Linked DNA regions of Oryzias latipes. The protein of the gene in region 4 purifies or fractionates together with the protein of the main gene of each other region. This does not show direct contact. Links are inferred from orthologs where the notes say so. Each region holds a gene or a part of one and is shown on either strand. Other genes may lie near its edges.

Region 1 (4,006 bases), on a different chromosome or scaffold from region 4:
GTTAAAATATTTTTAAAACAATTAACACTTTTTAGATGACACTTTTTGATCATTTTGAAACATAAAATATTTATAAACCTACAAAGTTACCTCAAGACTGGTGTAGAAACCTCCAGCTTCCTCCTCTTGTTGTCCCAGTGTGGGATACAACCACACAAAGCCGTTATTGCCAAGGATAACAGATGCACCGCATGGAAGATTATGGAAGTGACTTTTCTGCCTCTTGATCAGAGAAGGTGAAATTTGCACCAGCACTCCCTGACCCAGCTAACAAGAATACAGAGACCCAGAAAAGAAAAAAAATGATATACCGGTACCTATAGGCTACGTTCACACTGCAGGGCTTAATGCTCAATTCTGATTTTTTAGAAAAAATCCGATGTTCTTGCAAGGCTGTTCACATTTCCAATTAAATGCGAACTTTTGTGATTTCCTGTGTGACCGTGAAATGACCCAGAAGTGACCCGCATGCGCAGAAGAGTACTCAACGGGGAACGACATCACTCGTTGTTTGCGGAAGTAGCTAACGTTAGCAATGGATGTCAACTACAGTGTTGTCAACAGCGGAGCTCTTTTTGCAGTTTACATTTATTTTCAAGATGGAGCCAGCACAATTACAATCTTCTCATTTTAAGAAGGCATTGGAGCCAGGATCGTCTGTACCCACTGTGGTGGAATGGGGATGTGTATGTGCTGGGGCCGCGCGAGCACGTGTGTGTGTGTGTAAGAGAGAGGAGAGAGCACGTGCAGCGCAGCATTCCCTACTGCGCTGTGCGCATTCATGTTGTGTGTTACGGAGGAAGGACAACGATAATAAAAAAAGGCTGCTATTGACTCTTTATTAAACTGCTCTAGAGAATCTGAGGGTCCGAACGGGGAAATGAACGCCCAAAGGAGGATCCGCCTTCGGTCCCCCGCGCTTCTGACCACGGTCAGAAAGGGGAAAAAAAAGTAATTGCCAGGAAGGTTCAACCCCACGCTCGGCCATTTCGCTGGAATTTTTTTCAAAAAACCGCCCGGTTGCGATAAGAGCCCTCGAGTTTGGCCTGAATAGAGCTGTCACCCCAAATTTTAATCCAATCGGTGACCTTGCTTGCCTTCCAATGACTGGTCTCACCAGCATCGTCCGGCATGGTTGATGTTCATGTTCTTGTTCCCGCCTACTTCAACGCAGAATAATGACTTACGGGTCGGATACATGTGGCTTGGCCATTCAGACGGAGGTCGCATTTGAAAAGATCTGATCTGTGTCGCTCAGACTGTCATAAAAAGATCAGACACAGGTCGCATAGGGGCAGAAAAATTGGATTCAGCCTGCAGTGTGAACATGGCCAGAAACACAAATTTATTCAACATGTATAACAACAACAGGGAAACAGCTCTGTAAAATTTACCAAAAGGAGATATCAACATAGTAACACTGTGCACTTACTTTTCCATATTTTAAACTGCGAGTATGTAATGACAAGGCTCCATCTGAAAAAACAGACTGCACTTCTGCCTAAAAACAGTGAGAAAATACAGCAAAGTAGTCTTTAGTGACAAAAACTATGAGGGGGAAATGTTGGCAAAAAGACTAGAAAATCCTCTGTACACTTATGAGATCACCCTCCTGAAGATATTCTCTCATGGTCAGCTCATCTTCTGCTGATCTCCTCCTCTGTATAACAAAACAACAACAAAAAAGAGCATGCAGTTCAACTCATCCTGTAACGCTTCTCTCTCGTTAAACAACACAGTTCTGTCTCACCAGCTCTCCTCCAGGCAAGTTTACTGATGACAGCAAGAGGACAGAGTCCAGTCTGGAATTGGTTTCCACCTTCCAACGTTTCTGCTGCACCTGTATATAACCATCAAATCAAACAGATTGAAAAGATTATTAGCAAAAACAGATACAATGAATCCAACAACAAAAAAAATTGTTATCTCGTTTTGCCTTTTTAGAGAACAGTTGGAATAACTCACCTCTGTAATTCTGCCGACCACAACGTCTCCAACCTCGCCATTAAATCTAAAATGACGCACAAATGATCTTAAAGAATGTTTGCAAAAGTGGGGCTAGTCCGATCTGAATGGGTCAATCCACCAACCAATTCTATTGTTCATAAACATTGAAGATTTTTGTCCTTCACACTCACCTGGTCTTCAGTGGTCTGACACAGATGAGTTTGTCCACCCTCTGCACCTCTCCAGCAACTGAAGCTGTCAGCTTTTCTTCATCAACATAAGTGCCATGCCCCCTAGAAAACGACAAATTGTAGTTATGGTTTATTAAAATCATGTAAAGATGTAATTTCTTATCCTTCATCAGTATTCCATCAGATCAAAGACACATCTAAATAAGTTCTGGTGTGTTCTGAGTTTCTTTTTAGCATGTAGCTTACCGTACTACATCAGCGTGGTATCAAACACGTGTTCCAAAACGCAAGCAGAACCTACCTCATAAAACCTGTGTCCGAAGTGATGATGTCTCCGGGAACAACGAGATCCTTTCGGTCGAAAGCGGAAGCTGACAGAGACACCGTTTTCCTCACAGTCGGTAATCTCATATCAAGAGCCATGCTGTTACCGCAACTCTTCTGGTTATGGCTTCTTTCACACTCGTTTAAGTCAGATTTAAGTTTAAAAATGCAAAAAAAAATGGTGTACGTAGTTATTGAATCTTTGTTTTTGTTTTTAAATTAACAAATGATTACCCTATAAACTTGTAATAAATGCCAACCAAACAGCATATTATGCTAACACAAAACTTTCCTCCACTTGCTTCTTTGGCGTCTTAAAAGCGTGTTATAGCTACATTAGCACCTCCTTGTGGTATGGAGTTACTACTACAGTGTATCTTGTGCAGCACATCTTGAAATAATATCCATCCTCACAAATATTTATTTTTTATTCCAAATTAGAAAAAAATTCCGTTCTTTTTCATGCAGTTTGGCACCAAATTATTGTCCATTAATGTCACATTTGGTCTTCGATAAAAAGAAATCAGCTGAGTTCTGTTTCTTTTTTCGTATACTGTAACTTTATCATGTTGCTCACATTGCTATTTGCATGAGGTCATATTTATTTATTTAATTAAATATTTATTTATTTAATTATGAACAGTATGGGACTCCATATTTCTATTCTTTCTTTTTTTCATTAAAGAAATTAATGAAACTCCATGACAATACATTCTTTCTGGATGTCTTCTCACTTGACCACTAGGTGTCACCCTCGTGTCACGCAGCAGCCATTGTCACATAACAGAGTGGTGACGTTGGATGTCAACATTAAGCAAATTTCGTGCGGCTGACCAATCAGCGTTAAGATGGATAGACTCTTTGTAAAGATGGCGACAGTGAGGCTCAGTGGAGTAAAAACTGGACGCTTATCTCTTAATGAACACCACTGGTCCAGACAGCGTAACAACTGACAAAGCTCGGGGAGCAAAGCGGATTGGCCAGCATACTGGTACAGCGGGCACAATTTAGCGTTGCACGGTGTCGCGACGGGCCTCGCCGCTTTTGTTTTCGGGGACACCGCGCACCGCTCGCTAGCTTTAAGTTTGAAAATCCAATGCTAGCCCGGGGCTAGCCGTGGAGCTCAGTCGGCTGCTTTGGTATTTCTGTATGGAATCTGTGGATTAAACCTGCCCAGCGCCATCACCGGGCTCTTTAGTAGTGTTTTTGTCTCGACGAAAGCACTATGAGTCGCCCGTAGAGGCAACTACCGAGGATCTGGATTGCTGCGCTGCCTGCTCGAACTAAAGAGCGCCGTCATGTATTTTCTAACCGGTTGGCCCCGGAGGTTGCTTTGTCCGCTGAGGAGCGAAGAGGAGCCTTTCCAGATCCAGCCCAGCTCTCAGAGGTTTTACTTCGCCCTGGTGTCAGAAACCCAGATCAGCATCTGGTTCAGCCGGGTAAGTCGTGAAGTGAAGTGAACGCACGCGCTGCTCCAGCTGTCCCTGCACGAACACAATCAGGGGAGGTTCATTTAGTTTCTTTAGTTTATGCAGTCACTGTAC
Region 2 (4,268 bases), on a different chromosome or scaffold from region 4:
CAGAGTCGCGTCCACTACGTGTCTGTGGCCCACCTGCTCAACGACAGCCACTCTTCACAAACCGTCGCGTTTACGACCACGGACTTCACCTGCGAGCAGCGGCTCACCTTACACAGCGTCACGATGCAGGGAACATTTTCCACGCTCAGCCTCACGCAGTCAAACGGGTCGTCTGAAAGCTCCACCTCCTTCCCGCCTTCATCGTCCGACGACATGTGGACTCTAGGGATTCTGGGGGAGAAATGATGGGAGCACAGGATGAGCTGAAAACGTCTCCAAACACGACGAAATGTGAAAAACTGATACACACTTTGTGTTGAAGAGTGCCGCTTTGATGGCGACAGAGATGGCGTCGTACAGGTTGCCGTCACACTGCAGCAGCTGCAAACAAGACGATGCAAACGCCTTTATGAAGTGGTGGTTTTTACAAATCATTTGAGGCCTTTGAGGTGAAGCTCCGCCCCTTCTCAGGCCGCATTTCTTCTAACTGGCTGACTGACTAAGTAGACCTCACTTCCTCATTACACATCAGCTGCCTTTCAACTCATTTAGTGTTTCTTGAGTCCGACAAACCTCCTCCATGAAAAACAAACTGCATCCACTGCAGGCCGGTATGACTATTTGGGGTTTAAGGAACAAAAAATAAAATAAAATACATATTTCTTGATACTTTCACAAGTTGAAGTGCTACTATGGAGTTACATCAGTGTCTCTTAATTATTTTACCCAACTATGAAGAAATGACGCTTAAAATTAGAAAGAAAAAAAAACAACAGCATATAATTATGAAACTAGAATAAAAAAACTATAAACCTACAGTGAAAATGAAATAAAATTAATGTTTATTAGAAACTGGTATGTTTTTGTTAGTTAAACAAACGAAAAAACCAAAACTTCACTATATAAAACGGCAGCTGCTACAAATGAAGATCATTTTTTATTTGGTAACATTTGTAAGTTTATAGTTTTTTTAGTTTAAGTTTTAAATCTACAATCTTTGTATCCAATTTTCTGTATTTCTTCAAGTTTAGAATGTATAATTTCAAGTTTAACACCATTTCAAAACATTCTTCTTTTTCTTTTTTCAAGTTTACAACCTTATTTTTTCTTAATTTTAACCTGATTTGACCCCATCTGCTACCCCTCAGCAGCACAGCAGACATACTTCAGCATTTCATTTTTAATGCATACAAGGTAAACAAAACACTTGCTTAACTTTATTTAAAAAAAAAATCTAAATGCAGCAACAAGTTTTTCCTAAACAAACAAAAAACATGTAAATGTCTACTTCAACCTGTTTTTTTAACCCAATTTTTTACCCAAAATTCTAAAAAACTTAAAAATCATAAGATTTAGCATTATTACTGAATTTACGTCTATTGTTGTTGTGTTTATTGTTTTATTTTTAACATTTTTATGTTGTGTTTATATTTTTATGTTAAAGAGACTCACCAGGACATCTACATAGAGAACCCAGCAGTGCTCCCCAGCACTGATGCAGAGGCCCTTCAGGTCTATGCTGTTCTTGTTGTTGAAGACTCTGTAGAGAGTGTTGCTCAGCTCGATCCCTAGCTCCTCACCTCCTCTGCCTTCAAACTCGGGGGTGGCGTTGGCAGAGCTGGGGGTGTTGGGGAAAAAAATGTCAGGGAATCAAAAAAAAACATCAAACATTGACAATAACTCAGTTTGGTTCCGATTCTTAAACCAGAACAGCCCGGCATGGTCCTCATGAACACCCTCTACGTCTTAAAGCTGAATACCTGGATCAGGTGAGTTCAGCCAATCGGAATGAGGAGTTACAGAATCAGAAGAAAGCGGAGAGAAGTGGGGAAAACTGAGTCAATGGTGCAACAGTTAATCCCAGCAGTTATTAGTTTAGGAGTTTATTATCCTGCAAGATGATTTAAACAAAAACAGATATCCAAAATAAACTTTATTTTTAAAACATCCTCATTACTTTAAAATGCTTCGCAGGACAAAGACATCCTTCAAACTTCAAAAACAAACACAAAAAATATTTAAACATGCATTATAAGCTTTAGAACATGTAATGATCTCAACAAAAACATCAAGAGAGACTTCCCAACTTAGCCAAAAAGAAATCAAATATGTAACGGTTTAGGGTTCAGGTATTTCTAATATTTATATCAAGCCAAAAATGCAAACATTATTCATTTTAATAAACTATAGAGGCTATTCAATGTTTTTCTTTACTGTTTTGATGCAATACAATTCTGTCAAATGTCAAATTGTGCACATTTTGATGTCCAAACCTGCTTTAAATGCACACTAAACCTACCAATCAACAAAGAACTCCAGGTATCCTTCATCTGGAACCAGTGGTCTTGGTTTTCCTATTTCTGCTTTAATCCCAACCAGGACGGCGGTGTGTCCCTGAGAAGCACGATGGAAGGAAAATAAAGACACTGTTTCTGCGGATCTTTCACACGTAAATGTTGATTTTACCAGGGAGACTCTGGCAGATCCATCAGTGTTTGAGACCACATCCGTCTCCACTTCCATGTGTCGGTAGTCCTCACAGCTTCTTCCATCCACACGTAAATCATCCTGAGGAGAATACAAACATCCACATCTTTAGGTTGGTGTGACAACTTCACAGACATTTAGCTTAATAGAGCACACATTTCTAGAACAACTCACTCTTATTCCGTGTAGAATGTACACCTTTTCAGCCTCGCTAACTTTAACTGTTGCCATGTTAACTCAACAAACAGAAGAAGAAGAAACGGTGCCGGGAGGCTCTTCTTCTACAGTTTTCTCGATGAAGGAACTATGTCGCCACCACCTGGAAGAAGTGGGAGCTGCTGTTCAACATCACAAAATTTAATAATAATAATAATAATAATAATAATAATAATAATAATAATAATAATAATAATAATAATAATAATAATACAAAAACAATAATAATAATAAAATAATGACAATAATAATACATTTTTGAGAGTAATCTTTTTTTTCTTCTGTGTAGGAATGTAGATGCTTGTGCTATGTTTGTCCATATCATAAAGAGTATATAGACAGTTTTAAAATATATTTCTATTTAATTATATTCAGATTTTTTTATATTTATAAATGCACATATACAAAACAAGTTAGGGTGAACAATCGTTATAAATGCGCATATTGAAAAAACAAAACAAAATTTAAAAAATATGATAAAGGCAAGGCAAAAAACAATTCAAAATAACAGTACGTTTGATATATTTTGATAAATTACTGTAGTTTTCTTGTTTTTGTTTGGAATGCATTTAAGACACTTATAATAATCAGAAAAGTAATTCAAAAAATACCAAACAAAGGGCATGTAGTTTTCCATTTACATAAATGAATGAAATTTTTGCATTAAATAATAACAACATTAATGACATCAGAAATTCCTGGGTCCATATTTTCCATATAGAAAATAACAACAGATAAGGAAAAAAGGGAATATTTAAAACTTTGAGTGACAACCAATTGTGAATATCAGTCCAAAATATTTTTATCTGTAACTGTAACAGAGATGTTCTAACGTTTCAGTTTCAGATTAACAGAATAGGCATGGCTCCGATTGAAATTTGAATCTTTTATGTAAAAAAATCTCCAACAGGGTAAATTTGAGATATTATTTTAAAATGCGTTTCTTTCATTTTAGGTGGAAGTGGGTACTTTGTGTATAAAGAAAAAAATGTGTTCATTAGGGTGGTTTCTAAGTCCCGTCTATTGTTTATACTAAAGTTGCAGAAAGTTATTTGTTTAAAGGTTAGAGTTACTAATTTATTGGTGCATTTTTTTTTCATCTTTTAGGGGAATATCATTAATTTTCAGATCTGTAAATTGTGGTTTGATTGCATTGTATTGTAGTATGTATTGTCAGAAATATGATTATTTGGGTGTTTTTTGGAAGTACTTGTAAAAAAAATAAAATGATTTTAAATGGAAGAAAAATTGCCCTGCGTTTTGGCCAAAGGGGTGGATTTAATTTTAGACCATAATCTGATTGGTCAGTTTACAGGAAGTCCTTCCCGGGTTCTCTCCTGACAGACCATACCCAGGGCGAATCTACTAGGGGTAATCAAACTTCCTGGTTGGGTATGGGTGCGTTTTTATTCCTCCCGCAGAGATTTCTGGATGAGACCCTTCAAGAAAACATAAAATACAGTGACTTATTAAAGTTTAAGTCGAAGAACTAGCTAGCAAATTACCTTGTTAATTAAACGGAGACCAGAAACCAGGAAGAAGCCATTGAGTACACGCGTTAGCGG
Region 3 (3,741 bases), on a different chromosome or scaffold from region 4:
CTTTAAAAAGTAAGTTACATTAATACCAATTTTGTTTCAGCAGGTAAAGAAAATGATAGATTATTCAGCCTCAACGGACTGAAACTCTTACAAAACATGTATTGTATTGTGACATAAAAATTACTTTTACAACAAACAAAAGCAAAAGCAGAATAGCCTGTCTGCAAAACAAATCAAAGAAAATTAATCTAAAAAAAAAAGACTAAACACATGAACAGAGCATTTCATTCAGGAATAAAAAGTATTGTTTTGGTGAAAATTTGTAAGATATCAACACAGCTAAATAAATTGGATATAAGAATTATCTAATTTTTCACAAATTGTTTACTCTTACGGATGTGTGGTTTAAAATAAAGGTTCTTATTGTATCAGTCTGAAAACAAAGCTTTATTATCTGTTTATATATAAAATGCTGATGTTGCTGTTTCAGTTGATCACATTGATTTTTGCATCAAAAACAGGTCAGTTTTCAGCTAATAAAACAAATGCAAATACAAAGAAACGATATACATTCACATTTATTCTTTATGCACAAATATACTTAATAAAATGTTAAGAATGACGACAAAATAAGTGTTGATCCCAGGAAACCATTTGTTTACTCTTTCCTTCACCATTATTCTCTGAGCGTAGAACCTTCTTGGAGATGTTGCCTGACCACCTGGTCCAGGACTTTGCTCACACCTTTACAAGCGGTCATTGCCGCCTCAATCAGAGTGTCGAGGTGATCCTGATGCAGTCTGGCATCCATCTGGACCAGAGCGATCTGCCCTCCGCGGGGCAGAAGCGCCAAAGCCAGAGAGCTCACTCCTCCGCTCTCCTCTGCGTAGCAAAGATCGGCAAGAGAGGTTTCATCCACGAAGCCCACTGTGCAGGCGCACACATAGTCCCTCATCGGTATCCCTGCGTCGATCACTGCCAGTGTGGCGGCGTTCACACAAACGCTGTAGTTCCCCCCGTCGGACTGAAGAATCTTGAATGATGAAAACGTTCTTAAAACAATGACGAAAACAGATGCTATGAAGTAGAGCGCAGTATACTATAAATCTAAGGCCAACCTTGACATAGATGTCTATCTGGGAGCGTGGGTAGAGCTGGGTCAGCACGGCAGCTTCAAACGTTTGCTTGAGGTGAAGGCTCATTTCTGTGGACTTGCGGTCTCCGTGCGGTCTCCTCTTCCTCTCCGCCGTGCTGAAGGTGGCCATGCTGTACTGGCAGTTGATAATGGCTCTGTCATGAAGAGCCCGACTACGAGCACCTCGAATCTGAATGGGAAACAGGAAGTAAGCATAGGAGAACCATAAAAAAGGTCTGACATTTTTCACAGGGCGGCATACATCTGTCCTTTGAGTAAAACAGCTTTTTAATCCATCATCAGAGGTAAACCAGACAATAAAAACGCCAGACATGGGAGAGTTTGAGGTCAACGGCACAGATGAGCAAAAACAACATCTCAGGTTTTCCATCAGAAATATCGATGTTCTACAAGATTTAGGAAAGACTTTCAGGACAGAAAAGATAACCGTGAAACATTTTGGGTGATGTGCCTCGCATCACTCTAGTGTAAAACATTGCACAAACAGTCAAACATGGTGGTAATGGTGTCATGGTAAGGGGCTGTTATATTTGGGGCTTGGAATACTTTTGGTAAATGAATAAATTAACCAACAAATCCTCAAATTAACTTGGATTTCTCAGCAAGTCAAAGATTCAAAAGCAGTAAGTTTACCTCAGAATAGCATAACAAGTTCAAAAACTCTTGAATGCAGTTGTTAGTAAGTACTGTGTGACCGAGCCAGATAAGTAAACATTTTGTGTTACTGATACAATAAAATGCTTTGAAGGAAACGTATTATACTAAAATCATTACATTAATGTAAAATATCCCTTTAAATCTGACACATTACATAGAAATATCTTAATCCTTCATTAAACGCAGTTTGCACCGTTTCTTTGGCTGCCATGAACAGACTGGTGGTGTTGTTTTTACGTCACTTCTCCACGCGCGCGCGCCACTCACTTCATGCGGGCCGTAAACCACCGCCAGAGCTTTGGTGTTTCCTTGCTCCAGATACGCGGAACCGTCGGCCTGAGCGAACACCCCCATGCGGGCCTGGACTTTGCGCAGCTCGGTAGCTTTTCTTCCATCCAACCGGTATCCTTGATCAGACAGCAGCTCCAGACCCGCCATTTTCCCTAGCTTAACTACACGACAACACACGTGTCTACTGATGTACTACATTAACCATCATCCTCTTCGAGCAGTTACAGCAACGTCGGAAGAAAGTGTCGCAAAAAAGATTTCCATATTTATTTTACTTAGATGGTTTAGTAACAACTTCTTACTGGAAAAGTAGCCTAACGAAACATTTAGAAAGCCTTTTTTCTTATTTTATATTATTTTTAAATCTAACTGATACGTCAGAACAAAAGAAGTAGATAAATGCGGAACTACTAGTACGCGAGTCAAAACTAATTAATAAAATAAATTAAAATCAGGAGCTGAGAAATTACACACGGCATGCAGTTTTTACATTTAAGAATTCTGACTTTAATCTCACGACTCCGATTTTTAATTTAAAATTACAAGATAAAATAAGACTTTAAGCATTTTAAGTTTTAGGAATTCAGATTTATAAATATTTTCAACACAATAAACACTTCATTTAATGTCAGAGTATTGACATAATCTGATAAAGATTAATCATGATTTTAATAACTATTGTTTTTTCTTGGGAATGTCAATTTTAAAATACTGTCTTTAAATATAGAATTTTGATATTAGAGTACAGCAACATTTTCTGAAATTACTATAAGAATTCTTTAAAGGACACCTGCAGATTTTCTCATTTTCTTTTATTTTATTAATTTTTGCCCCTGACATCTTGACAAGTTTTACAGGCGCTGCAGTTTGTTTTATCTTCTGTCTGAAATCAGAACCCAAGTCAAAGTATATTTATTTTTCCAAAACATCTTGGTTTTCAAATTTTAAAAAGTAAATCCAGTGTTAATCTTTTTAAATAAAATGTTTTAGCATTTTTGTAAATTATACAGAAGATATATTTTCATTTCTGATGTTAAAAAGGATTCAATTCTATTGTCATTTATTTTTCTAGTTTAATTTTAATATTTTTGAGCGCCAATCGTTCGTGATCATTTTAAATCAGATCAACATCTTTCACTTTTTCATATTTAAAAAAAAATTTGTGTTAAAGCATTTGATAATTTACAAATATGAAGTAGACTTACCTTGTAATGCCATATTTAAAATAAGTTTTTTGTGTGTTTTTAAATTGATTACAGAGTAAAGCTTTTCACCTTTTAAAACGTGTTTAAATTGACTACATTTTGGCCTGCTTTGTTAATATTTCAGTCACACAAACTGCCTGCCAGCATTTCACTTTAAAGCTTTTATCAGATCTCAGACGACATTCCAGCCTCATCTTCCATCTCTTCATTCTGTTTGTTGCTTCATTTGTTGTCTTTTTACCTTTAGATTTGCTTTAATATCGCATTTAACATCAAAATCCTTTCCATCGATAAAGGTATGAAGATGAAGATGAAAAGATGAAGCCTAAGAAAAGGAGTACAACTCAAACCTCAAGAGTTTTAAAAATAAAATTTATTAGCATCTCTAATGTGTATAAATAAAAACATATATGAAACAATGCATATACGTATAATGCAATGAGCTCAACAATAACAAGATTATATGTGATATGACGGAGCGGTCTTTCGTTT
Region 4 (3,500 bases):
ACACAAGTGGACCATAGAGAAACATTTAAAATGTTAGAAAACTCTTCCAGACCACAAATTTCAGGTGGGAATTCGGGTTTTCTGATTTTTTTTGTTTTTTTTATTTGTTAAATGCTGCTTAGCCAAGTTTGTTTCATCGTAATGGGTTAATTTTTTAAAAAATATTTTCGTTTGTGCATCTGTAAAACACTCAGAACAGTCACTGTGAATAAAACGTTTTGGAAAAAAAAAATCAGGCTGTTATTCTCTTCCTAATCTAATTCGGAAGCTTTGTGAGCTACATCTCACCTTTGAGGTTTGCCTTCATGTAACAGGTGGCAAAACCAACAACAAGGACAACAAAACAAGTGCTGCCTGTGAACAGATTTCTGAGCTATTAGTGAATCTGTGTTTTTGAAAAACCAGCCATGAGAGCCGAACGGCAAAGAGGTGCTAGCTGAAAGTACTAGTGTGCTAACAGCCAATATTTGCAAGTGGCTGACAGGTGGCACACTGTATGTACCCTGGTTGTTATAATTTACAAGCTTTATTGGTTCTTTTGGGTAGTTTTAATTAGGTAGCCTTGACAAGGGAGCCGGTGATTCAGACAATCTGTACAGCCGAGTCGGCTGCATCCATGTTTTTTCATAATGTTGGTCAACCTTCCATTCTGTTCTTATTTTGGCTTGTTTTTTTAACTAAATCATCTACACTTCTTTCTCTTTTAGGACACAGGTATTCTTGAAAGCACTAAATAAAATTGGTCCCGTCTTCTGCTGGCGTCCATCACATACGTCATCGGCTATGGCCCTTCTTTGGTTTCCTAGATGAGTGTTTTTCAGCCAGTGTGCCGCGGTACACATGTATGCCATGAAAGATCATCATGTATGCAATGGGAAGTTATCTAATTTCACCTAAATCAGTGTAAAAAGCATTCACTATTGCAATGACATCAGCTCTGTGTTCATCAAACTTTCAGGCTTCAACAGAGTTTTAGTGTCACAAAAACAAAAAAAATAACATTACGAGATTTGAAGTAAAATATTTAAATATTTTGTGGGAACAAATTCCTACTGTGTGGGAACAAATTATTATTTTGTGGGAAAAAAAATATTTTTTTTTACCCATGTCAGGTGACTTATTAGCAAATCAAACGAAGGTTTTTTCTGAGTTTTAGTTTATATCACACCGAAAAAAAACTGCAATTTAAAAATCGAGGTTTGAACCTTTGGGAAAGTGAATCGATGCATCCTTACTGAACGCTGCCGCAGACGGAAGTGAGTGTGTGTCTGGACCAGTATTTTTCAACTTTTTCGAGCAAAGGCACACTTTATCCTTGACAAAAAATCCCGCGGCACACCAGCATCCAAAATTGAAAAATGGAGAAACTCTATAGTCTGTTTGATGTACAGTTTCTCTGCAATCTCATATGCACTGTTGTGATAATTGTGGCAGAAAAAGCTGGAAGTTGCAGCTGTTTCTTCTAAAAGATGTAATAAAAGTTAAGTTAGTTTTCAGTAATTATTTTGAACTAAATTATTTGAAAATTTACCCTGGTAGTTGTTTTTCCCTTCAGTTTACTGACATGCAATTTTAATTAACCCCACAAAAAACGAAATATATTCTTTCTAAATAGTGATTTAGAAAGAATGACATATAAAATAATCCAGACCTCATTAGAAAAGTGTTTCAGTTAGAAAGATGACTTGGACCAAACTCTGGGATGTTTGGATGTTAATAAACACAAACCTTGAAGGAGAACTAAACTGTTGACCTCTGATTTCATCAAGAAGATTTAAAAACGGTTTGATGTGGGTTCGTTGTGGTTTCAAGACGTTTAACAGGGAGGACTCACTGAGACGCTGTCACTTTAACCCAATGCATCATGGGAGGTGTAGTGTGAAACAGACGCCGATCGCAGACACTCTCTGAGCTTCATTGTTTTGTTCACTTGCTCCACGGTCTGACAGCAGATCGTGCAGAAAGCTACACCGCTTAAGATGAGCTTTAGCTGGTATTTTTGTTGGAACTGAGAGACTTTATGAGCTAAATCGGGACAAGGAAGTCTGGACTTTAACCACTTCTGATTGGTCAGACTGATGACGTATGATTAAGCCTCCAAGAATGATTGGTGGAGACAGTTAAAGGGGTGGGACTTTTCCGAAAACAGAGCTGAAGCTACGGCTAAATCACGGTACCGTCATTCTTAGCAAAATGTCTTTAAAAGAATCAAATAAACACAAAGTAAAAGTCTTTTACGATCTTTCACATTCCTAACTACTCAGTTTTATCAGGGCCTGTTTGGATGAACACAGAGCTGATATCCTGGAGATGGGAAATGTTTTTAGATCAGTTAATGGGTAGTTTCCCACGGCACACCTGACCATCTCCCACGGCACACTGGTTGAAAAACACTGGTCTGGACAGTAACACCTGTGACATTCAAGTGCAGCTGCCAAATTTTCTGATTTATGACCACCAGGATTATCTGTAGCAGTTGGACAAAAAGCTTTGCTCTGTGGTAAAAGGCTTAACTGAAGTGTTAAACTGGAAAGAAAAGAAATCAGAAAAGTTTAATATGACAGCGGGGGTGCGAGTAACTAACTAAAAGGAAGCCAAGTAATACCCCCTGAGGAATGGAACTAGCAGCAGGAGGCTGCTAGTTCCTAGAAAAGAGGCTTTGTTACTCAAGAGGAACAAAAATGTGTCCAATGAATCTGAGACACTTTTATAACACCCAGCCCACATGCTGTACATTTTTCCTCCTCTATAGGATAGAATATTTAACATGGCCCCCATTCTGTGTTTCTGCAGACCCGTTCATCTGATGGGGACTCACTGTCTTGGGAAAATATAAAGTATCACACAGAGTTAAAGTAGTCATAAACCTACTGTCCTTTCAACGCTGTTGCGGGCCCTTGAGTGAATCCAGCTAAAAGAATATGCCATGCCTTCCAACACAGACCTGAGGTGCTTGTCTGAAGTTCAAAAGAACAAAATGAACGGAGAAACGAGGAAATGTAAAAAGACTTACTGCTGCCTGCTGACGCACAGTGGCAACATTCTGAAGAGACTCCTGGTAGCTTTGTTTAGTCTTCGTTCTTTTCTCTGAGAGAATTCAACAGATAAAAAGTGAGGAAACAATGCTTGAAAAGGTAATGTGTAGAAAAGAAAAGCCAATTACCTGAGGCTTTCTTTGCCTGTTGCTTTGCTTCCTCTTTGGCTTTTTGCTTAGCCTCTAACTCTTTTTGCTGCTGTTCAATGCTCTGCAGTTTCCACCTTTTGCTGATCTGTCAGGGTGCCAAAGTAAGCAAAGCACATTAAAAACAACAGCGGTCAATATATTTCACAAAAAAGCTCTTCAGGTACCTCAAATATTTTGGAGGATGGGTCAAACTTGGCATTCTTGTTGACATGCACATCGGTGGAAGGTAAATACTGGAATAAGAAGCAATAAATTATTATTCTGCCAAAGCACAAATAAAGAATTGTGAAGGTTAAGCTCTTGACATTTCCTACCA
Region 5 (4,077 bases), on a different chromosome or scaffold from region 4:
TTTTTTCCCTAATATTTGGAGGACTACAGATTTCTTAGTCGCATTGGTACGTTTCTCACTACAGTATTAAAGTTTGCAGCACTTCTAAGGCATTTCTCAAAACAGATTTTTCAAACTGCAAAACTCGATGCACAACCTGCAAAAGCGAGTCACTCTTTCAGAATGGAAAGTCAAATTCTGGAAAGGAAGTCAGTAGTTAAAAAATGGGTAGTTCAAGCTGCAAAAGCAAATCCCTTAATCAAAGTGGATGAATTGATCTTCAAAGTCAAGTATTTATGTCAGTGAAAGTTTCAGTGTCATCAAAATAACAAGTTATGACTCCAGCATCTTTGAACAATCAAGTCAAAAGGTTTATACATGTTTTCATTGAGACAGATTACTCTAAAAGTGCTTCCCAATACCATGTGAGACAGCATTACATACCACGAATGGCGTTTAGAAAACTGGAGTTTAATAAAAAATGAAGACACTGTATATGCACTTCTGCTGTAGACTCACAAAGGTCTTTTTTTAAATCTCTTTCTGCATGGTTTTCCTGCAATCCAGGCCATAGTTCATATGTTTTAACAGAGGGGAGTGGGAAGGGTGGGTTGGGTTTTTACTGTAATATTGTGTGTTTTCTGTTTTTAATGCTAAAGCGCTTCGAGCTGCACAAACGCATGAGAAGCACTATTTTATAAATAAAGTTTGATTTAATTTGATATGACATGGTTTACCACATGATCTTCAAGTCTTGCCCCATACTGAATGTAGTGACTGACCAAAGCTGTTTGTCTGATGATCATTACACAAACTAAATGACCTCCCTCCCAAAGAAGAAAAAAAAAGAAAGAAAGCAAGAAAACAAAAAAAGGGGAACACCAGTACTTAGTTTGACAGATTATCTCTGCTCATTAAGTCACAAATTCTCTACTTTGAATGGACATTAAATTTGTTGTTCAGAGTTGTTGACATTTGCAATATTACCGTTTGTGCGCAGAACAAAGTCATTTTATTTGAGCAGAATTAACAACTTTGTCATTTATAGAAATAATTCTAAATTAAACTTGCCAACAAAACCCAAAAGACTAATTAGAAACGAGAAAAAAATCGTTTTTAAAAGCTCTTTTTTATGCAGCCCACTTCTAATAAAAAAGTTTTTGTTAAATTGTATAAAATATTAAATTACTTCCAAATAAAATTATATATATATATCGATACAAAATTAACCAAATTATTTGTTTACTGCTACACCGTCACGTTTCATGCCCATGCGCACCTCTTTCGGACACACCCTCCCACTCTGAATTAACCAATCAGAGTCGCCTCGCGCCCGTGAAAAGAGCCAATTGAGTGGTGCGCGTCTTCCGCAAACATGTCTCCCACGAGGCTGTGCGTTCCAGGTAAGTCTCCGTAAAAACCGCTTTTAGCGGTTTTCTATTGGTTTTGTGTGTTGTTTTTTTGTTAATCCCGTTTGTGAGTCTGTCACTGGGACGCCAGAAAATGGCGTAAAATTCTCCGTAGCGGTATAACGTGTAAATGTTGCTGCCATAGCTACGCGCGATTTAGCTCGTCTTTGCGCACTCATCGTTTAGGTAGTAGTAAATTCGTAGATTTGCGTTTGTGTGCATGCTTATATTTCCCTTTTCTTACTTAGTTTGGGCGCGTGCTCGCATTTTCTGAGCTCCGAGACACGTGAGGGGGCGGGGAAGGCTCGACACGTGAAGGACTGTGACTTTTCCCACCCCCGAAAACTATGCAGTCGATCCTTAGGATCACGTGGTTATAGCGGGGCCCCATGTGGTCCCCTTCAGAAGTTCGGACGGGTACAACATTTTAGAATATTGACTATTGAAAGCTGCGTCATGCATCAGCAGAAATGTGGTGTTCGTCTGAAACAGCTTCTAGTCAGTTAAGTCCTGCTGTCTTTGTACAACAGTTCATCATCATTCACTACTGTGTCAAACTTAAGGCCAGGGGGCCAAATGTGGCCCTCCGTGTTATTTTATGTGGCCCGCGGGAGCATGAAAGTTTTTAATTTCTTAAAATGAAATGTTTTTTTAGTTGATTACATATTATTTGTGTAGCTGCAGTTGTAATTATACAATGTTTGCCGGTCTTGTGTGTGTATGCAGACAAATTGTTGTCATCAAACCATCAGTTGGATGCAAGGCTGTGAGCAGCCTTTTATTGTAAAATGTTACACGTGTAATTAATCTTCTTTCTAGCTCAGTTTTAAGTTATTTTTCTTTTTTCACTTGGACAGTTTGAGCGTGGGTTTTAATAAGCAGACAAAATGTAGAAGGATTTATGCTAAATTAACAAGCAAACATGTTTTCTATGCAACTGTAATTGTCACTATAAAACGTTATATTTAATAAATGAGTTATTTAACATTAAGGAGTAGTTACGTCTATCTTTCATTACATTTGGTTACATGTATAAGTTATATCTGGCCCTTTGAGGGCAGCTGTTATGCTGATGTGGCCCTCAGTGAAAATGAGTTTGACACCCCTATACTAATCAGTATTTACCTGTTTAATCAATTTTGAAAAGACGTATTGAAACTGTAGTTGGAAATGTGTCTTTTTAATAGTGTAAATATTGAAACAACAAAGCATTTAATGTTAAACTAGGAAAAGGTGAACATCCTGAGGAACCTTTTCAATAATCGGATCCAATATACATCTTGAATGTTATATTTGTCATTTAAACTAATGGCAGAATAAACAAATGTATAATTGCAGATGTCATGCCCCTCCACACACATGGAATGGACTCATAAATGAACCTTTGAATCTGAGCTGTATTTTACATACTTAGAGCCTGAAGATTATTTCACTAAACATTCAGTTATATATATATACTCTAGCTCCCCTTCCAATATACTATTTATGAAATCTCTATAATATTTATTTCCTTGTTGGAATTCAAAAACAACAATGTAATAAATAATATTGTTTATTGTTTGCTGTTTTGCATATGCATATGTATAAAGGAGCTTTGTGCCTCTGCTGTGAGAAAAACGAAGCAACTATTGCAAAGTTTGCAATAATTTCAAATGGAAAATTATCAATATTGAAAGAAAAACAAGAGGGGGGGGGCAGACACATGACAGGCTCTGATTGATTGAACACACCTGATCAGATAATCTGCTCTAGAAAACAGGTAAATCCTGTGGTTTTACTGTGGTTTGGCAGGAAGCCCCACCTTCATTCTGACCATCTGTGTCTCAGGTGACAAACTGTGCAGCGTGGAGGACTGCATTCTGGGAACTGGAGTGTATCTGCGGCACGGCTACATCTACTCCTCTCTTGCAGGCTACGTGCTGAAGAAGAATGAGGGGGAGCAGGTGAGGAGGGGTGGATCTAGCAGAGTTGACTTGTTGACACATCTTCCAAGTCTGTAGTTAAGGGGATTTTCCTTTAAAGAGAGAGAGTATTTTGTTTTAATTTTTTTCAAATTTGGGGACAAACTGTAGTTCATTTATCGTCCAGCCTTACCATTAGCCTGACTCCACCCACCCTCTAATCCAGAGGGATCAAAGTTTGGGATGGAACGGGGTGATGACGAGTCTGGTCCGCACTGGTTCTCGTGCACGTTTGTGGTGTTTTACAGTTACCTGTGATCTCTGTGGTCAGAGAAACAGAAGTCCAGCTGTTGCCAGATGTGGGCGCCATCGTCACCTGTAAGGTAGGAGGGGGGGCTGACACAGGTGGGACCTACACTTTTAGCCTCATTAGGAGATTTTTCCAGGACTTTGTCACATTCATGGTGCTTGTTTGGTAGCGGAATTGTTTGCAGATTAGAAATATAGATTATCATAGATAATTAATTAAATTTATTTTTTTAAACAGAAGAAAGTGCGATGATGACAAAATACATGTGGTAAATGGATTCAGTATTCCTGCCTTTGTCTTTGCTGTTTTCCTGCATGTTTTTAAAATCATAAATAAATAAAAACATCATAACTAAACTCACAGCTGTAGACTCCCTTCTAGTCTAAAGCAGCTCCACATTTGAAACTGGGTTGCATTTAGCATCACAGTTTGACATCTTTTCTGTCTGTTGCTGAACCACAGGGAGACTTTCAAAATC
Region 6 (4,068 bases), on a different chromosome or scaffold from region 4:
TCCTTGGAGTGACTGCACACAGCAGACTGCACACAGAGCCCCACCCACACTCACCTGGACGTTGGGTCGGTTTCGCTTGGTGGCTCCTTCAAACGCCAGGTAAGACAGAGACGCCAGCTCGCTGCCGCCAAAGTCCACCCTGAAGGTGTCTCCTGCTCGGGCCGTCACGATCCCGATCACGGTCTCCCCTTTAGTGGCGACATACTGAGGAGAACAAACCATTGACTATTCGAGAACTGGACTGAAGGACCCCTCCCTCCTCATGCTCCAAACAGGAAGAACCCGCTGGCTCCAAGAAGCCAAAATCCCATTGACATAACTTCTCACATTGAATGTGTGAAACATTTGACAGATTTTATGTAGCCTGCTTTCAAGTGATAGGGGTGTGACCTTCAAACAAGCTCACTCCTGATTGGCCACTATTTTTTATAAACCATTAGGTTTTCATCATCAGAACACAGTAGATTCATAAAGTCGTCATAAAATGTTCATATTTATTACCTTTCTATTTAGGGAAACGGGTGACGTCATATTGGCATCAGTGTTGGGAAAATGACTTCTAAAAAGTAACTGTTTACTTAGTGTTACAAAATTGTAATTAAATTACTTTACTCACCTATTTAGTACGGTAATTGCCTACCGGTTACTCCACTTTTTTTCCTCTCACATACAGATTCTCAAGGCAAAAAACAGTTTTCACAAACAAGATCCTCTTGTCATTCATATAACTTTATATTCAGAGAAATGACCTTGTGCAAATTTGAACCTGGCTCAAGACATAACCTGGTTTTATTAGAATTCAGACAACAATGTGAAAAAATACACAAAAAAGTTACAACACATGTGGTCTATAGGCCACTGCTCAAAGTGAGATGTGGAAACAAATCAGTTACGCCTATGATCACATCTGTCGAATCCACTCTTTTAAAAACACAAAGAATTATTTAATGCCTCCATGTTCATTTTCTCTGACTTAAGGTATTCCATGACAATGAGTTGTGCCTGTCTCTCTCTCTATACGTCTGGCGTTTGTGCAGTTCTGAGCAGCTGCAGGTCTACTGGACCAACACCACCCCAGCACCCACCTGCAGAGTGCATTGAGCGCCAACTCACGCTGACCAGAGACGCAGTCATGTGCAGCACAGAGAATAATTAAGTCAAAATGGGTGAAATAATATAGTAAACGCCAAGATCCGACTTTAGAGATGTTTCACTGCCAACCAACCCATCATCAGTACACGGGGCGGTTCTCTACTCTGCTGCTCACCTGCTGCTGCTCGGGGAGGACAAGCATCTCTGTTTGTTTCATCTTTGAGCCAGTAAGCCATTTGTATGGGTGACGTCACACTACGATTCTCCTAAGGCAGTGTTTTTCAACCAGTGTGCCGCGGCACACTAGTGTGCCGTGGGAGATGGTCAAGTGCGCCGTGGAGAAATTGCCCTCATTAACTGATCTAAAAACATTTTCCATCTCCAGGATTTCAGCTCTGTGTTCATCCAAACAGGCCCTGATAAAACACTGAGTAGTTAGGAATATAAAAGATCTTAAAATTACTTTTTCTTTGTGTTTATTTAATTCTATTAAAGAGATTTTGATAAAAATCACGGTACCGCGATTTAGCTGCAGCTCTAACTGTGTAAGGAAAAGTCCCGCCCCTTTAACTGTCTCCGCCAATCATTCTTGAAGGCTTAATCACATGTCATCAGTCTGACCAATCAGAAGTGCTTAAAGTCTTCACTTCCTTGTTCTTAATTCTGCTGATAAAGTCGCTCAGTTCTAACAAATATACCAGCTAAAGACGAGCTTTAGCTGGTGGTTCATCTCTTAGAAAAAAACAGCCGCAAATTCCTGCTTTTTCTGCCACAATTATCACAAAAATTCACGTGAGATTGCGGGGGGGGGGGGCGCTGTCGATCAATACAGACCATGAATTTCTGCTTTTTTTTTTTTTTTTGGATGATGGTGTGCCGCGGGATTTTTTTCAGGGTTAAAGTGTGCCGTGGCTCAAAAAAGGTTGAAAAACACTGTCCTAAGGATCAATGGAACGAACGCACGCGGACACATTTATTCACAACAAAGTACATTATTTAAGCAAACACAAGTTTGCAAAAATGAAACTTGTGTTTGCATAAATAATCTGGGTCTAAATTGAAAATACGCAGATCATGTGTGGATTTTTTTAAATTCTTGGTTAGTTGAGTGCATCGAATCAAAACCCATATCTCTGTATCAGTCCATATGTTTTAATTTGATAAATAATTAATTTAGTTTATTTTGATGTATTAGCTTGACGCGTATTTGGTTTTTATTTGATTATACTTTGTTATTTGTAACTGATATTTTTACTATTTGTTATATAAAGCACTTGAGGTGGATTTCATCAGGAAGTGCTATCAATAAAGTTGTGTTTGAATGCTGGTTGTGACCGGACCGCTTCACATTAATGCTCTAAACACGTCTCTGGACCGCTGAACGCAGTTTGTTGGGATCTCAGAACCTTTGGTTCGGACCGGTCCGCTCTTACCCGCTTCTGCTGGGAATCGATCCAGAAGGTGAGCGGCGGTTTGTGCCGCAGCACGCCGCTCTTCATCACCACCAGGCGGTCTCCGCTCCGCCGCAGCCCTGGTCCACACACCGCGCGCTCCGGCTTCGCGCTCTCCGACAGAGAGATCGTTTCCTCTGCACCAAAGCAGAACTCGTCCCCCGGAACCAGAACCTGTCCAACTTTCTCCTTCAGAACGGCGAACATGCCTCCTGTCGTGCTCATGGTCGTCTTCTTCTTTTTGTTGTTTATATCAGATCCTTACTTTGCGCCCCCTGGTGACCAGGAGGAACAATAGCGCTTTCTAAATTATAAGAATTTTCCTGTTTAAAGGACACACCTTTCAAAACGTTTTGGATAAATCCAGGTCTCACCAAATTTCCTCTAAAATAATCGTCTTTGAAAAAAGGTAAAATAATTTTCTACAGAAACAAAAAGTAGTATAAAAATGTCTCAATAGTGTAACACACAGACACACCCACACACACGTACACAACTCAAACGATTTAGGAGCACTAAAAAAGACATGCTATGCCTGAACAAATGAAATATTCTTTTGAAATGCTTCATTCTTTACATATTTGCATGTCCTGACAACACAATAAAATAAAAATAGTAATGGAAATTAAAACTATTCGGCTATGGATGTCTGGATGTGTGAACATTACATGCTGATCCAACTTCAATGTAATTTCTTTGAAACAAGTCAAAATGAGGCTCAGTAGTGGGCGTGGCCTCCACATGCCCATATGATTCCCCTGCAATGCCTGGGTACGCTTCTGATGAGGCAGCGGGTGGTCCTCCAAGGGATCTTCTCTGACGCCTGGACCAAAGCATCTGCTAACTCCTGGACAGTCTGGGGTGCAACCAGGAGTTAGTGGATGGACGAGACATGATGTCCCCGATGTGCTCAATTGCATTCAGGTCTGGAAAGTGTGCGGGCCAGTCCATGACATCATTAGCTTCGTCTGGCAGAAACTGCTGACACTCCAGCCACATGAGGCCTAGCACTGTCTTACTTTAGGAGGAACCCAGGGCCAATCGCACCAACATGCGGTCTCACAAGGGGTCAGAGAATCTCATCTCAGTACCTAATGACAGTCAGGCTACCTCTGGTGAGCACATGGAGGGCTGTGTGGCACTCCAAAGAAATGCCGCCCCAAACCATACCTGACCCATTGCCAAAGCGCTCATGTTGGACAATATTGCAGGCAGCAGAGCATTCTCCACCGCATCTCCAGACTGTGTCAACAGTGACTATGCCAAGCTTGGTGTTCTACAGCAAATGTCAAATGTCTCGCACGGTTTTGGGCTGTCAACACAACTCCCACCTGGCGACCTCATGGAGTCTGTTTCTACCATTCTGAGCAGACGTGCACATTTGTGGTCAACTGGAGGTTATTTTGCAGGCCTCTTCCCGTTTCTCCTTGCACAAAGGAGGAGGCAGTGGTCCTGATGCAGGGTTGGCCCCCCTTCTATGGCCTTCTCCACATCTCCTGATGTACTAGCCTGTCTCCTGATGGAA
Region 7 (4,054 bases), on a different chromosome or scaffold from region 4:
CCATGCCTGGTTCACTTCTCCTCTCTGTTCTGGACTCGCGGTTGCTAGGCGACGGGACATTCGCAGATGCAACGGCTGGAATAATTCAAACGGTTAGGCTCATCCAAATTCACAGCTGTTCACATCCGGCCTATTGTAGTTAATTAAAGGTAGTTTATTGAAGGAAGCAGCCCTCGAATTTGGACACACCATGAATCTCACTAAAGACCCACTTTGATGAAAGTGGTGTTTATAACGTGTTCTTGTAGTGTTTTCTCATGATTGAAGACATAGAAAAAGAAGATTTAGCTAAAAATTGCATTTCTGAGAATTTTTTTTGTAATTAGGAGCTGACAAAATATGCAGTTGGAAAAACCCTTTTAACACGTTACTACGGCAAGCCAGAAGCTCCCAGCTCTGTACAGATCCACGTACGTCTCTATGTCTCACCGGCAATGCTACCTTGGGTTTGAGAGGGGGCTGTAAGCTAGCCAGAGAGCCTGTAAAAAGATTTATGATGGGGAAGGGGGGCGGGGTTACTCCACACCAAAACTCCCGCCCCACAAGACAACTGCAGCCGCTCTGCAGAAACTATGTCCTAGAAAACGATACAGGTTTTGTGATTTTGCCTAAAAAAACATAATTAAAAAGACCACTGCGATCAAAAGATGATCAGAGTTCACGATGCCGTCGAAAGTAGTTGTGTGAGTTAAGACAAACCAATAGAAACACTTGTTTGTCAGCTTAAAATGTTTCTTTAAAGAGCCTGGAAGCCTAAATGTGGGAATATCTTGCCTCCTGCTCAAAATGACGCCCTATTCCGCTGCGTAAAATGTCGTGATGCGTTCATGGTCGGCAGATTTTGAGTAGGACGTTTATTTGGAGAAAAAAAACAAGCTTGAATTAAAATAATAAAAAATAAATTCCGATCAAGTCTGAAACTGTGATTTCCGATCATGTGATCTCCAATTGATAGTTTGAATAGTGAGTTTATGGTCAGGAGTTGGGGATGAATCAGGAGAAGTGGATTATTACCCTTGTTGGAAGAAGGAGAAGCTGACACTAATGGGCATGTGGTAGATGCTAAGAGGAATGGGATCCCTCTCCTCTGGGCTGTACTGAAACGGGAAAAGCAACAATGTAAACCGACAGATGAGAAAACGCCGCCTCCTGCTGGGGCTGCTCCCTCACCACCGTGACCTCCTCTCCCTGGACGGCTACGTCGGGCCGCCTGAAATGGCACAGAGCGGCGATGGCGGCGATGCTGGAGGCGTCCATCAGGTTCCCGTCGTTGTTCAGCATGTGGACATCCACCCTGATCTGCCACACCTGGGCGAACACACGCGTTTCAGAGGAAAGCAGACGTCGCTTTGCGAGTCGCACAGGTTTGTGGGAATGACCTTTTCTCCGGACACCACGCACAGGGACTCCGTGTCGATGCACTTGGAGTTCCTCAGGCATCTTTCCAACTGTCTGTTCAGCTTCACGGACAGCTCCGACTGTCTGGATGTGGCGAAACAACAAAAAATGAGCCACACAGAGACAATCGAGGCACAAAACTATAAGGTCATGTGATCCAAAACCAACCTTCCCTGCTCGAAAGCTGGCGAGGCCAGAGGTGACAGCTCGATGTTAAAAAACATGATTCCCTCATTCGGGCGGCTCTCCTTTGGTGCAACCAGCTCACAAGATACCTGGGCCATGACCCTGAAAACACAAAGCTCCGATGACTGAGCGACATCAAACGCACCACGTCCGGTTTTCCCCACAAAGAGAACCTGGGGCTCACCTGGTTTGTCCCAAATCCACAAAGCAGCAGCCGTAGTCCGTCCCAAAGCTGATCTTGATCTTTCTGTAGTCGTAGGTCTGCCGTCCGTCCAGACGCTGCACGGAAAAAAAGACAACGTGATAGTTTTCCCTTAAACTCTTCCCATCTCACTTTTTCTATTCAGTCACCAGCAGAGAGTGAAGCAGTTAGGCTGGATATGAATATATTAAAAAAAACACAGAAATATATTTTTCTCACATTATAATATCCAGATTGTCACTAAGACGAGCAGCATACGGAACCTTGCAGTGATCAAGGCCACAGAAGTACAAAAATTAATCAATTAAATGCACAGTTTTTGTATTAAAATCAGTAAATCAATCATTGATGCTGCAAAAGTCGCATTTTTCCCTCTTCTCTTGAAGATTTCTAAATTAAACCACCTTCCCGGAGTTTTACCGAACTGTTAAACAACTACGCTTTTAATAAAATGTTGTTGTACACAGTAGTCATCAGGGAACTGTTACCGAGGAACGAAAACAAACCTTTTTCTCCTCGATGGCTTTCAGTATAAAGTCCCGCTCGCAGGCGGACAGCGGTGTTTCTTTCATCGTGTGGATTTCAGGCTGTTTGGAGTTATTTTGAAATGATTAGATTCTTTGAAAACCACGCGGGCACGTTTATGTTTATCCGGTTCTAGGCGCGCATGCGCAGCTGTGTACGTTTTACGACAGTAAAGGCTCGAATATGGTTTGAGTCCAATGCTGGATTAAACATGGTTTTAATGTTAAAAATTATCTTAATTTTGAATTGTAGCATTTTATTTATGGTTTCGTACAAATTCATATTATTTCAAACTAAATAGATGGAAACAGAAGACGCCAGCATCAAATACACAGCAGGTTGAATCAACCAATTATTTGTTTTCACATTAAAGGCAACAATTATTTCAGTACAAGAAATAATTTTGTATTATTTTACAAACCCAAAAATATATCCTTATAATTTATATAAAATATCTGCATTTCCTGCGGTCAGACGAGTGTAAAAAGTGTTTACGACAGTTGCGATCGGTGCTGCGTTGGGGTCAACTTGGAAATTACATTGTTCAAGTTTTTGTCTTCTGCAATATAATTGGTTTTGTATTTTAACTTGACAATTTTTTAAGAATACATTTAATACACGTGCTTAATTAACTGCATAAAAATACTAAAAGAAATGATAAATGTGTATACAAAGAATTTCAATCCCTTGATCTTTGCAAATTCTATTTGGCTGTCAAATTTATTTAATATTAAACATTGAATAAATGTTTGCTGTTTGTTTAGTTTGTCTTAACATAAACATAAGAAATGTAAAGGGGAACTTCTTTTAAGCTCAAGCCATTTTCCCCCAATTAAAGTCCTGTAGACTTGAATTCTAAATACATGTTTTTCTTTTTCTTCCTCTATGAATATAACCTTTGACTAACAATGCATTCAATTTTCTGTATTTACAAATATATACAACCAAAGCTGTGTTCTGTTTATTAAAGAATAAATTATTTTTTATGTATTGTTAAATCAAATATTAACCAATCACACCACATTTTCCTTATATGGCAATTAAAAATAGCCAGTAGTACATCTTAAAAGCTTTTTATGTTCATCGGTCTGAAAAAAAAGGAAACAGATGTGAACAAATCCTTGATGATGTTATTTAAAAAAATTATAACAAGCATGCATAAAAACAAATGAGCGAATGACAGCTTGGGTTCGGATTTTTGGCTTGAGCATTTGAACGCATCAGTCGTGCTTCCCCTTCTGTGTCTACTGCGCACGTCCAGTACCGTTATACGGGCTAACTGTCACTCACGGTCCATCCATCCAGCCGTGTTTCCCCTCCGTTTCTCAAGGGAGACTCCGCTCTTCAACCTCAGATCACTCTTGTGCCCTTCTCCGTAGGGCAGAACACAACAACAACCATTTTCAAATATAATAACGAGCTGCAAGAGAGGACGTAAGGACGGTTTGTGTGCGCACGCTCATTCACTCCACTCCATTCATCATGGGCGCGCGCGCGCGCGCAACGTTGTGGCTAGCAAGCTAGCGTTTGTTTTTCATTCATTCGTGGTCTTCAGATAAAACGTTTTATCTTTTCTGTTGTATCACGTTAAATGTCTGCTGCCTCTTGTTTTGCGTCAGCGCGTGCTTACATCCGTCTTCCGCGCGTGTTCGGGTGTCAGCGAAGCTCGTGTTGCGCTAACTTGTGGCGGTCCTGCTGTGTTAGCTGTAGCCCGCGGAGCAGGTGCTGCGGCCGGGGCAGTTC

Evidence for each region.
Region 1: the proteins of exosc10 (region 4) and exosc2 fractionate together in Homo sapiens (co-fractionation; 9 studies listed by BioGRID and IntAct, with this or other methods). This does not show direct contact. The link is inferred for Oryzias latipes from reciprocal best matches to the Homo sapiens genes EXOSC10 and EXOSC2.
Region 2: the proteins of exosc10 (region 4) and exosc7 purify together in Homo sapiens (affinity purification with mass spectrometry; 6 studies listed by BioGRID and IntAct, counting the BioPlex papers as one, with this or other methods). This does not show direct contact. The link is inferred for Oryzias latipes from reciprocal best matches to the Homo sapiens genes EXOSC10 and EXOSC7.
Region 3: the proteins of exosc10 (region 4) and exosc4 purify together in Homo sapiens (affinity purification with mass spectrometry; 9 studies listed by BioGRID and IntAct, with this or other methods). This does not show direct contact. The link is inferred for Oryzias latipes from reciprocal best matches to the Homo sapiens genes EXOSC10 and EXOSC4.
Region 5: the proteins of exosc10 (region 4) and exosc1 purify together in Homo sapiens (co-immunoprecipitation; 8 studies listed by BioGRID and IntAct, counting the BioPlex papers as one, with this or other methods). This does not show direct contact. The link is inferred for Oryzias latipes from reciprocal best matches to the Homo sapiens genes EXOSC10 and EXOSC1.
Region 6: the proteins of exosc10 (region 4) and exosc3 purify together in Homo sapiens (affinity purification with mass spectrometry; 8 studies listed by BioGRID and IntAct, counting the BioPlex papers as one, with this or other methods). This does not show direct contact. The link is inferred for Oryzias latipes from reciprocal best matches to the Homo sapiens genes EXOSC10 and EXOSC3.
Region 7: the proteins of exosc10 (region 4) and exosc9 purify together in Homo sapiens (co-immunoprecipitation; 7 studies listed by BioGRID and IntAct, with this or other methods). This does not show direct contact. The link is inferred for Oryzias latipes from reciprocal best matches to the Homo sapiens genes EXOSC10 and EXOSC9.

What each region holds. Positions count from the first base shown.
Region 1 is NC_019870.2:12,830,056-12,834,061, forward strand, and holds the start of exosc2 (exosome complex component RRP4), read right to left. Parts: upstream 2,801-4,006; 5' UTR 2,562-2,800; coding exon 2,440-2,561; intron 2,241-2,439; coding exon 2,139-2,240; intron 2,012-2,138; coding exon 1,966-2,011; intron 1,841-1,965; coding exon 1,751-1,840; intron 1,661-1,750; coding exon 1,595-1,660; intron 1,502-1,594; coding exon 1,433-1,501; intron 268-1,432; coding exon 91-267; intron 1-90. Other genes in the region: ric1 (RAB6A-GEF complex partner protein 1), read left to right, coding at 3,761-3,901. UniProt on the Homo sapiens protein: Non-catalytic component of the RNA exosome complex which has 3'->5' exoribonuclease activity and participates in a multitude of cellular RNA processing and degradation events.
Region 2 is NC_019869.2:5,727,888-5,732,155, forward strand, and holds the start of exosc7 (exosome complex component RRP42), read right to left. Parts: upstream 2,801-4,268; 5' UTR 2,719-2,800; coding exon 2,662-2,718; intron 2,569-2,661; coding exon 2,467-2,568; intron 2,395-2,466; coding exon 2,300-2,394; intron 1,619-2,299; coding exon 1,453-1,618; intron 382-1,452; coding exon 311-381; intron 232-310; coding exon 108-231; intron 34-107; coding exon 1-33. UniProt on the Homo sapiens protein: Non-catalytic component of the RNA exosome complex which has 3'->5' exoribonuclease activity and participates in a multitude of cellular RNA processing and degradation events.
Region 3 is NC_019875.2:26,759,988-26,763,728, forward strand, and holds exosc4 (exosome complex component RRP41), read right to left. Parts: upstream 2,256-3,741; 5' UTR 2,192-2,255; coding exon 2,021-2,191; intron 1,266-2,020; coding exon 1,059-1,265; intron 974-1,058; coding exon 617-973; 3' UTR 501-616; downstream 1-500. UniProt on the Homo sapiens protein: Non-catalytic component of the RNA exosome complex which has 3'->5' exoribonuclease activity and participates in a multitude of cellular RNA processing and degradation events.
Region 4 is NC_019865.2:9,473,456-9,476,955, reverse strand, and holds part of exosc10 (exosome component 10), read right to left. Parts: coding exon 3,499-3,500; intron 3,418-3,498; coding exon 3,349-3,417; intron 3,270-3,348; coding exon 3,164-3,269; intron 3,088-3,163; coding exon 3,014-3,087; intron 1-3,013. UniProt on the Homo sapiens protein: Catalytic component of the RNA exosome complex which has 3'->5' exoribonuclease activity and participates in a multitude of cellular RNA processing and degradation events.
Region 5 is NC_019859.2:28,378,248-28,382,324, forward strand, and holds the start of exosc1 (exosome complex component CSL4), read left to right. Parts: upstream 1-1,277; 5' UTR 1,278-1,354; coding exon 1,355-1,382; intron 1,383-3,215; coding exon 3,216-3,331; intron 3,332-3,597; coding exon 3,598-3,672; intron 3,673-4,077. UniProt on the Homo sapiens protein: Non-catalytic component of the RNA exosome complex which has 3'->5' exoribonuclease activity and participates in a multitude of cellular RNA processing and degradation events.
Region 6 is NC_019868.2:3,163,611-3,167,678, reverse strand, and holds the start of exosc3 (exosome complex component RRP40), read right to left. Parts: upstream 2,801-4,068; 5' UTR 2,769-2,800; coding exon 2,526-2,768; intron 205-2,525; coding exon 55-204; intron 1-54. UniProt on the Homo sapiens protein: Non-catalytic component of the RNA exosome complex which has 3'->5' exoribonuclease activity and participates in a multitude of cellular RNA processing and degradation events.
Region 7 is NC_019859.2:5,412,190-5,416,243, forward strand, and holds the start of exosc9 (exosome complex component RRP45), read right to left. Parts: upstream 2,801-4,054; 5' UTR 2,359-2,800; coding exon 2,293-2,358; intron 1,864-2,292; coding exon 1,769-1,863; intron 1,687-1,768; coding exon 1,567-1,686; intron 1,483-1,566; coding exon 1,380-1,482; intron 1,309-1,379; coding exon 1,171-1,308; intron 1,098-1,170; coding exon 1,015-1,097; intron 1-1,014. UniProt on the Homo sapiens protein: Non-catalytic component of the RNA exosome complex which has 3'->5' exoribonuclease activity and participates in a multitude of cellular RNA processing and degradation events.